2 linked regions of the Rhinolophus ferrumequinum genome follow. The protein of the gene in region 1 interacts with the protein of each later gene in a pairwise test. Links are inferred from orthologs where the notes say so. Each region holds a gene or a part of one and is shown on either strand. Other genes may lie near its edges.

Region 1 (3,914 bases):
AGTCCAAGTTCTTTAGTTAGACTCTGTATGTGATCCTTCCACCCTCACAATCTCTTCTCTAGCCACTCCATCAAGCTTTTTCGTGCACAGAGGCTGGCCTGCCTGCAGGGTGGACCTCATGAATGTGAGACCTATTCAGTGACCACGGGAAATTCTTCATATTTTTTTTTCTAAAGATTTTATTGGGGAAGGGGAACAGGACTTCATTGGGGAACAGTGTGTACTTCCAGGACTTTTTTCCAAGTCAAGTTGTTGTCCTTTCAGTCTTAGTTGTGGAGGGCACAGCTCAGCTCCAGGTCCAGTTGCCGTTTTCTAGTTGCAGGGGGCGCAGCCCACCATCCCTTGCAGGACTCGAGGAGTTGAACTGAGGAGTTGAACCGGCAACCTTGTGGTTGAGAGCCCACTGGCCCATGTGGGAATCGAACTGCCTGCCTTCGAGTTAGGAGCATGGAGCTCCAACCGCCTGAGCCACCGGGCTGGCCCCTTCTTCATATTTTTTAACAAGGGGCCCCACATTTTCATTTTGCACTGAACTGCACCAATTAAGTTGCCAGTCTGTTGCTCCCTGCACCCCTCTTGCAGTTTGTGGCCTCCAAAGCTTTGTCTGTACAGTCTCCTCCACCCGGAACACCCCTCCACACATTACCCCTCTTCCTGCAGCTCTTCCTTTAAGACTCAATTTACATGTTATGCTGTGATGCCTCTTTTGACCCTCCTCCCTCCCCTTCCCTTCCTAATCACCCAGCACGCAGGAGGTGCTCAATACTTGTCTGTTAGATAAACGGAATGACAAGTGCCACAAGAAACCCACAAACTACGAGAGACGGTAGAGCAAGATAAAGCGGGAAGAGGGCATTTCTAATGGCCTCCAGGTTCACACAGATAGGCGCTAGTACCCTGCCAGCAAACGCGCTAATCCGTGCGCTGAAAGCCCCGCGCGGCTGGAATCGGCTCTCCGGCGCCGCCTGCCTCGATCGTGCCGCCGCTGCAGCCCTTTCCTGGCGCCCCGCCCCTCGCCGGCCCTGAGCCCGCCTCACATCTCCCATTGGCTGTCTGCTGTTCTCCCGCCCCTCCCGGGCTCAGCCATTCGGAGCCCGGGGGTGGTGGGGCTTGAGGCCAGGGGTGGAGCGCGCGGCCTGATTGGCTCTGAGGAAAGCAGCTACGTGGCCGGAGGAGGCCGGTTTGTACCTAAACTGAGGCTCCGCCACGCTAGTGCTGGATTGGTAGTAGGCGGGGCGGGCCTGGGTCGTCGGCCGGAAAAAGGAAGTAGAGGAAAGATGCAGGTGGGGGAATAGGAGCTGGGGAAATGGGGGGCTGGTCCGGGACCCCTGGATTGGGTTCAGCCCGTCCTCCCCTGATCCACTTCCTCGGCCTCCCTCCCGGGCAGGCGCAGCCCTCCCCGACTCGTCGTTCTGGCCCCGCGGGGTGGCGGTTGTGCGGGTGAAATGAGCGCGCGAGTGGCACGCCCCCTCCCCGCGTTCACTCCCCGATTTCTGTCGTGTTTCCCGCCAGGACCATCAGCACGTGCCCATCGACATCCAGACCAGCAAGCTGATCGGTAGGAAGGGGCGCTCCCGCGCCGCCTTGCTGTCAGGGGGAGGCCCGGCCCTTTGCCCTCTGTCACCAACAGCTGGGAGCCCTGATGCCCCAAGGCCTCTGTTGAGGAGCGGGAAGGAACTATACATGGAATCTGTACTTCACCCGCGTTTTCTTCTTTAACATTTATAACGTGTTGTCAGATCATATTCATTTAGAGAAGGTTATAATAGCTTACCTTAAAAACGATCATCTACTGAGTGGCAGATCTGAAATTATTCTCTAATGTCTATGCTTTTTGTATTATGCCAGAAAAGAACTCTCCCTCCTTTCTTTTTAAAAGCTTCCATCTCTTCTTGACTTTAGTAGGAGAAAAAGGGACACAGACCCAGTTAGAAATAAAGACCATTAAGTAGCCCGGCCATCTCCCTGCTGTTTGATCTACATACCTCCTCCCCAGTTCAGGGCCAGGAAAGGACTTCTTCATTCTGACCCCTTTGGGGCAAGTACACAGCTCCTGAGTTTTAAAGTGCTCATTGTATTAATCGACTTGATGCCAGTTTTGTCGTTAAGATGACATCTGTTAGACTACCTCATCCCTTTGCTTCTAGTTCCATGACAGCCACAGAATTTTTCTTTCTGAACACTTTAAAGGAATACAGCAGAGGGAGTATAATGATAACTGGTGTGGGACCCCAGTGTTTGACCAGTTGGCAGATTTATTAACAAGGGCAAGGTTCTGAATTCACTATTGTGGGCCATTTAGTTAGTCCTGTGCAGTGGCTACTCAGTGGAGCTTCTTTAGCTTCATTTCAGATTTGTCTCAGCTCTTCAGCACATATGCATTCTTGGTATATTAGCTTGTCATTGGTCATGAAAGGGACCAATAAAACAATAACTATTCATTGAGGGTTTGCTCTATATCAGGTGCTGTTTTAGGCACTTGATGTTATAAAAATAAAGATTACTAAGATTTATTGAGTCCTTGCCATGTTCCATGCGCAGTGCTGTGTTTTACCTGCATTCCCTCTTGTACTCAGTATCTTACTACCCCCATTTTACATTTGGGGCACATGAGAGCCTTGCCCAAGAAAGTTGATAATTAGAAACCAGGACCATTTGACCACAAAACCTAGCTCTTATCTCTCTCCTACTGAGGAAACATGCACGGCCCTCAGTTACCTACACCCTCTGCAAAAAACAAATCTGGGCCCAGACTCCAGGAAGTCAGTCACATTGGTGTTCACGTGTGCAGGGTCGTACTTCACTGGTAAGAATAGACCAGTATTATCTAGTCCTTAGGGTGCTGTAGGTATTAGAGGCTTTGCAGTTGTTCATTCATCCAGTACTTGGCATACCATCTTGTATTTTCCATTGTCGTGGTTAATCCCAGCCCTGAGGAAGTGGAAGTAGAACAGCATCCTCTGTCAGTAAGAAAGATATAATTACCCATGGAAGCAAAAAGATTATGGAGAATTCAGAGCGGTCAAAAGTGGTGCTTTGATGTCAAGGCCAGTTTAAAATTTTTCTTTATCTCTGTGTAGAGGCAATTGCTCTGCTAAGTAGGTTGTCAGAGTCTGTTTAGCCCCAAGCATCCTTTTGGACCTGTCTTTATTCCCAGCTTCCCACGACCCCCACACCTTAACCAATCTGAGTACATATTTCAGCCAATGTCTTAGCGTATTTTACTTGAATTAGTAATGGAATTTTGGCCATATGAATGGGAACGCTGTGATTTGGGTGTTTCTCACACAGACTGGCTGGTGGACAGAAGGCATTGTAACCTGAAATGGCAGAGTCTGGTGTTGACGATTCGCGAGAAGATCAATGCTGCCATCCAGGACATGCCCGAAAGTGAAGAGATCGCCCAGCTGCTCTCTGGATCCTGTGAGTGCTCTGGGGCTGCCTTCCTGGAGCCCCTTCTTTCCTGGAGCAATATATGTCAGCTGAGCTGCTCCCCTGTTGTTTAGCCACAAGGCTGATCCCTAGAGAAAGATTTTTGTTTGGGGTATATATAAATGCTGGTTTCTTCCAACACAGACTGATGAAGGGAAGAGCTATGCCTGCTAACACTATTAGCCTATACATGGGTTAGTCATGTGCGTTGGCCAGAGTAAGTGGGGAAAATACTGGAATTCTCAGTTTTTGCTCTCACTTGCTTTCCAGATATTCACTACTTCCATTGCCTAAGAATTGTGGACCTTCTCAAGGGCACTGAAGCTTCTACAAAAAATATTTTTGGCCGGTATTCTTCACAGCGAATGAAGGCAAGTGTGGGCGAGGGTGGTGACAGGATCAGAGCCTCTGTGAGCTCTCTGAGGGACGCCCACATGGAATGTTTCCCGAACTTTCTCTCTGTCCCATAGTTTATTCCAAAA
Region 2 (3,914 bases), on another chromosome or scaffold:
AATCTTCTTTGTACAATTTTTTATTGGATAACTGATTAGCTAGCAGCAGTCACCTGGACAGTCTATCCTTGAGTAGCTGACTAGGGGTACCAAAAAAATCTTAATTTTTTATGAATTCTCTGGAAAATCTTTGTGAGCTAAACTGACTCTGCATGACAAGCAGTTTCTCTGTAATGTCTGCCAGTGCCTTTCCATTAGTACCTCATTCTTAGCTGGACGAGGTAAGCACTACTTCCCTCACTAGAAATCTCAATATACCTGCTGCTTTTCTCTAAATCCTTTTCCCCTAAGTCCTTTCCTCTTCCTGAATCCTCTTCTGAGCCCTTATTTGAAAGGGATCACAATCTGGGGTGCTCTGTATTGGAGTTTACATTACAGAGTTACAATCATAATAATTTTCTAGTATAAACTTAAGACATTAAACAAAAATAAGCAAACTTAGTTTTCCTTCCTTCCTGCATTTTTTAAAAGGATAAACACCAGTATTTTCACACTCCAACAAGCTAACAAAACAGCAGATAGTACTGACATCACTGTCTAATGAACTGTATGAGCTAACTGACTTGAATAGACAGGAACTTTTTCTTATTTTTTAAGTAAATATTTTGATATTAAAGTAATCTTAATTAAGACAATAGCTTCAGGGCTTATCACAGGAGCAAATTTTGGCAAATATTTGCTGGTGTCATGCCCACGGGCATTATGAAGCAGGAACGTTTTTAAGATGAAGATTATAACCTGAGGATAAGCAACATATAAAAGGCATAACTTTAGAAATTAAAACCCCCTGAGATTACATTTCTTCCTATAATGCTTAAAGACTAAATTTGCACACTTGCTCCTGTGTGTCACCTCTTAGTAGGGAAAATACATTTTTCCTCTTACATTAGTTAAAAGTGAAGAGGGAATATTGTCCAGTTGCTTTGTAGGTGTTTGCCAAAGTATATAAACTTTAAAATCTGTAAGAAAAATTGAAATGGTCTTTTATTATATATCTTGTTAGGATGAGACAAGTTTCCCTTTCAGTTGCTCCTGATTTTTAAATGATCGCACTTGACACAGCAATACTTCACTTTTCTTAAAAACCAAACTCTGTTCATCTCAATTTTTGGTAATAGCCATGAATCTGTACATTAAAGGAGGAAGGCCTGTGAATTGCTGAATTCACTTTACTGTACATGAGAAGCCCACTGAGCTGAGTTTAAATAAACAAGTAACCTTTCTCACCTTTTAAGCAAATATTTTAACAATAGCTTAGGTGCCTTAGAAATTCAGTCTTAGAAATCCACATTAACACAAAGCAGACCAAACATGCTTGAGTTTGGTCTGCATCCAAGTATACAAACCAAGCCTGTTGCAGACTGACAAAATTCAAAACATTTCGTAACACAAAGACAAAGGAATACTCTTGACTGAGGAGCTTAATCACAAGGCGCAGTTCTCGCCCGATATTAAGGCTCTGCTGTCCTGACGTCACCGGTTGCCATGGCAGCATCCTCCCAGGGAGGAAAAGAAGGGTGGTGCGAGGGGCGGAGCACGGCTTCTACAGAGGACAAGGATCGCTCTCTCATCCTGCAGGTCTGACTTCTACCAAAATGAGCGGCAAGGATGGGGACCACACCGTTCCTGTCGCTAAAACCTGCGGCCTTGCTGCTCCTGAGCATGCTCCAGGACATCCGGACCTGAACCAGCGTCAGAGCGAGGAAACCGAGGCGACACAGGTGATGGCGGACACAGGTGAGGGCAGTTTGGAGACTGCCGCGGAGGGAGGCGCATCTCGGGCCCACTGGGGCTGTGGCCCTGTGCTCCGCATTCGAGTTGCTGCGAGTCGCAGCCGTGCAACGGCTACAATGGGCCAGAAAGAGGCTCCGCCACCCACGGAGGGCCTGGACGCAGCCTCTGCCTCCGCCTCGGTGGCTACAGACAATAGTCCGGAAAATGGCTGTCAGCCTAGAGAGCCGAGCGGCTCTGCTGGAGAGAAAGCTCTAGAAGCCTGTGGCGCAGGGCATTTAGGGTCTCTGATGCTGCTGTCTGGGGCAAAGGCCAAGGAATTGACGTCAAAAAAGTGCGCCATCTCAGCGACAGCAGAAAAGGAGGGAGTAGCAGAAGTGGGGGTGGAAGAAAAGGTGATTCAGAAGGAGAAAAAGGCGGTAGGAGGAATGAAAGAGGAGACACGCGCCAGGGGCCCGAAGATCAATAACTGCATGGACTCGCTAGAGGCCATCGATCAGGAGCTGTCAAACGTCAATGCCCAGGCCGACAGGGCCTTCCTTCAACTGGAGCGCAAGTTTGGCCGGATGCGAAGGCTCCATATGCAGCGCAGAAGTTTCATTATCCAGAATATCCCAGGTTTCTGGGTCACTGCTTTTCGGAACCATCCCCAGCTGTCACCTATGATCAGTGGCCAAGATGAAGACATGATGAGGTACATGATCAACTTGGAAGTTGAGGAGCTTAAACACCCTAGAGCAGGCTGCAAATTCAGGTTCATCTTTCAGAGCAACCCCTACTTCCGAAATGAGGGGCTCGTCAAGGAATATGAGCGCAGATCCTCTGGCCGGGTGGTGTCTCTTTCCACTCCAATCCGCTGGCACCGGGGCCAAGACCCCCAGGCCCATATCCACAGGAACCGGGAAGGGAACACCATCCCCAGTTTCTTCAACTGGTTCTCAGACCACAGCCTCCTTGAATTCGACAGGATTGCTGAGATTATCAAAGCAGAACTGTGGCCCAACCCCCTACAGTATTACCTGATGGGTGAAGGGCCCCGCAGAGGAATTCGAGACCCAGCAAGGCAGCCAGTGGAGAGCCCCAGGTCCTTCAGGTTCCAGTCTGGCTAACTCCTGATCTGTGAGAAGCTCCTGCACAAGTCTCCTTACCACCTCCTCTTGGATTCTGTGCTTAGCCAACAGCATGCAATTTTCCATCTGCTTTCTCTTCACACTGGATTGTTTTGTTCTTTGGTTCTTCTAAATCTTCAATCAGTGTCAAGATTGTTGCTTACATGCCTATGCTCCTTTTCCTCTGGGCTTTGGTGCTGTTCTGCAAAGTGTTCCGTGTTCCAAGTGCATGGTCTCCCACTGCTTCTCTGCCAAGCACATGCCATAGATATGCACTGACTTCCTTTGCATGCCTTGGGCGTTCTCTGTGACTATGGTCTTTTCCCAGTTTTTTGAGTGTTTACCACAAGGAAGCTTAATATATATCTTTGCAAATAACTACCTGGGCTTCATAACGATGCTGGCTCTGTTCCTCATACCCTGTACTCTATGGTGAGCTCTCTGAGTGTCACCACTGTAAGATGAAGCTGATACAGATGATGCCAGCCATCAACCCAAACTGGACATTCCAAGCTATCACTAACTGGTTCCCAGCTGCTTTCCTGAGCCTGTGCCATCCAGCCTGCTGGTTATTTGACAGAATAAGCAGGTGGCTGATGGGTGGCTACTAGGCATGAATGAGGTAACAGATGTGTTCTGTTATCATGTTGATCTCCTTAATGCCCTTGGTCACTCTACATCGTGACCAGGTACTGGTGAGTATGAAAGCCTGTGCTGTGGCCCACCCAAACCTATTCTCAGCTTTTTGGATGAGCTTTGCACAGTCACCATGGCCTCCCTCCTCAGGAACTATCGTTGGACTTAAGCCCCCAGGCAGCGCACAGGAACTACTCCCTTCCCAAATGATTACCGAGAAACCCAATTGACTGTTGGGATGGTTGGGCAGTCACTTGTGACAGTGCCTAAAGCAAGGCTGGAATGGGGGTCCCTTCCAACAGTTAGCCTTTCTGAGTCCTAGACAATAAACCACCCAGGAGCACCGAGGAAGATGTATTTTTGGTCTGTCTTCCTCTCCCTCCTTCCCCAGTCTCCTTGCCTTTGTTTCCCCCTCCCTCCTCCCCCTGCCCTGCTTCC

What was found.
Region 2: the proteins of CDK5RAP3 (region 1) and TSPYL4 interact in binary tests that used the Homo sapiens proteins (3 or more experiments, as listed by UniProt). The two-hybrid records come from large-scale screens. The link is inferred for Rhinolophus ferrumequinum from reciprocal best matches to the Homo sapiens genes CDK5RAP3 and TSPYL4.

The regions. Positions count from the first base shown.
Region 1 is NC_046304.1:35,002,616-35,006,529, reverse strand, and holds the start of CDK5RAP3 (CDK5 regulatory subunit-associated protein 3), read left to right. Parts: upstream 1-1,144; 5' UTR 1,145-1,277; coding exon 1,278-1,283; intron 1,284-1,512; coding exon 1,513-1,558; intron 1,559-3,291; coding exon 3,292-3,423; intron 3,424-3,702; coding exon 3,703-3,803; intron 3,804-3,914. UniProt on the Homo sapiens protein: Substrate adapter of E3 ligase complexes mediating ufmylation, the covalent attachment of the ubiquitin-like modifier UFM1 to substrate proteins, and which is involved in various processes, such as ribosome recycling and reticulophagy (also called ER-phagy).
Region 2 is NC_046286.1:67,184,016-67,187,929, reverse strand, and holds the start of TSPYL4 (testis-specific Y-encoded-like protein 4), read left to right. Parts: upstream 1-1,505; 5' UTR 1,506-1,595; coding exon 1,596-2,840; 3' UTR 2,841-3,914.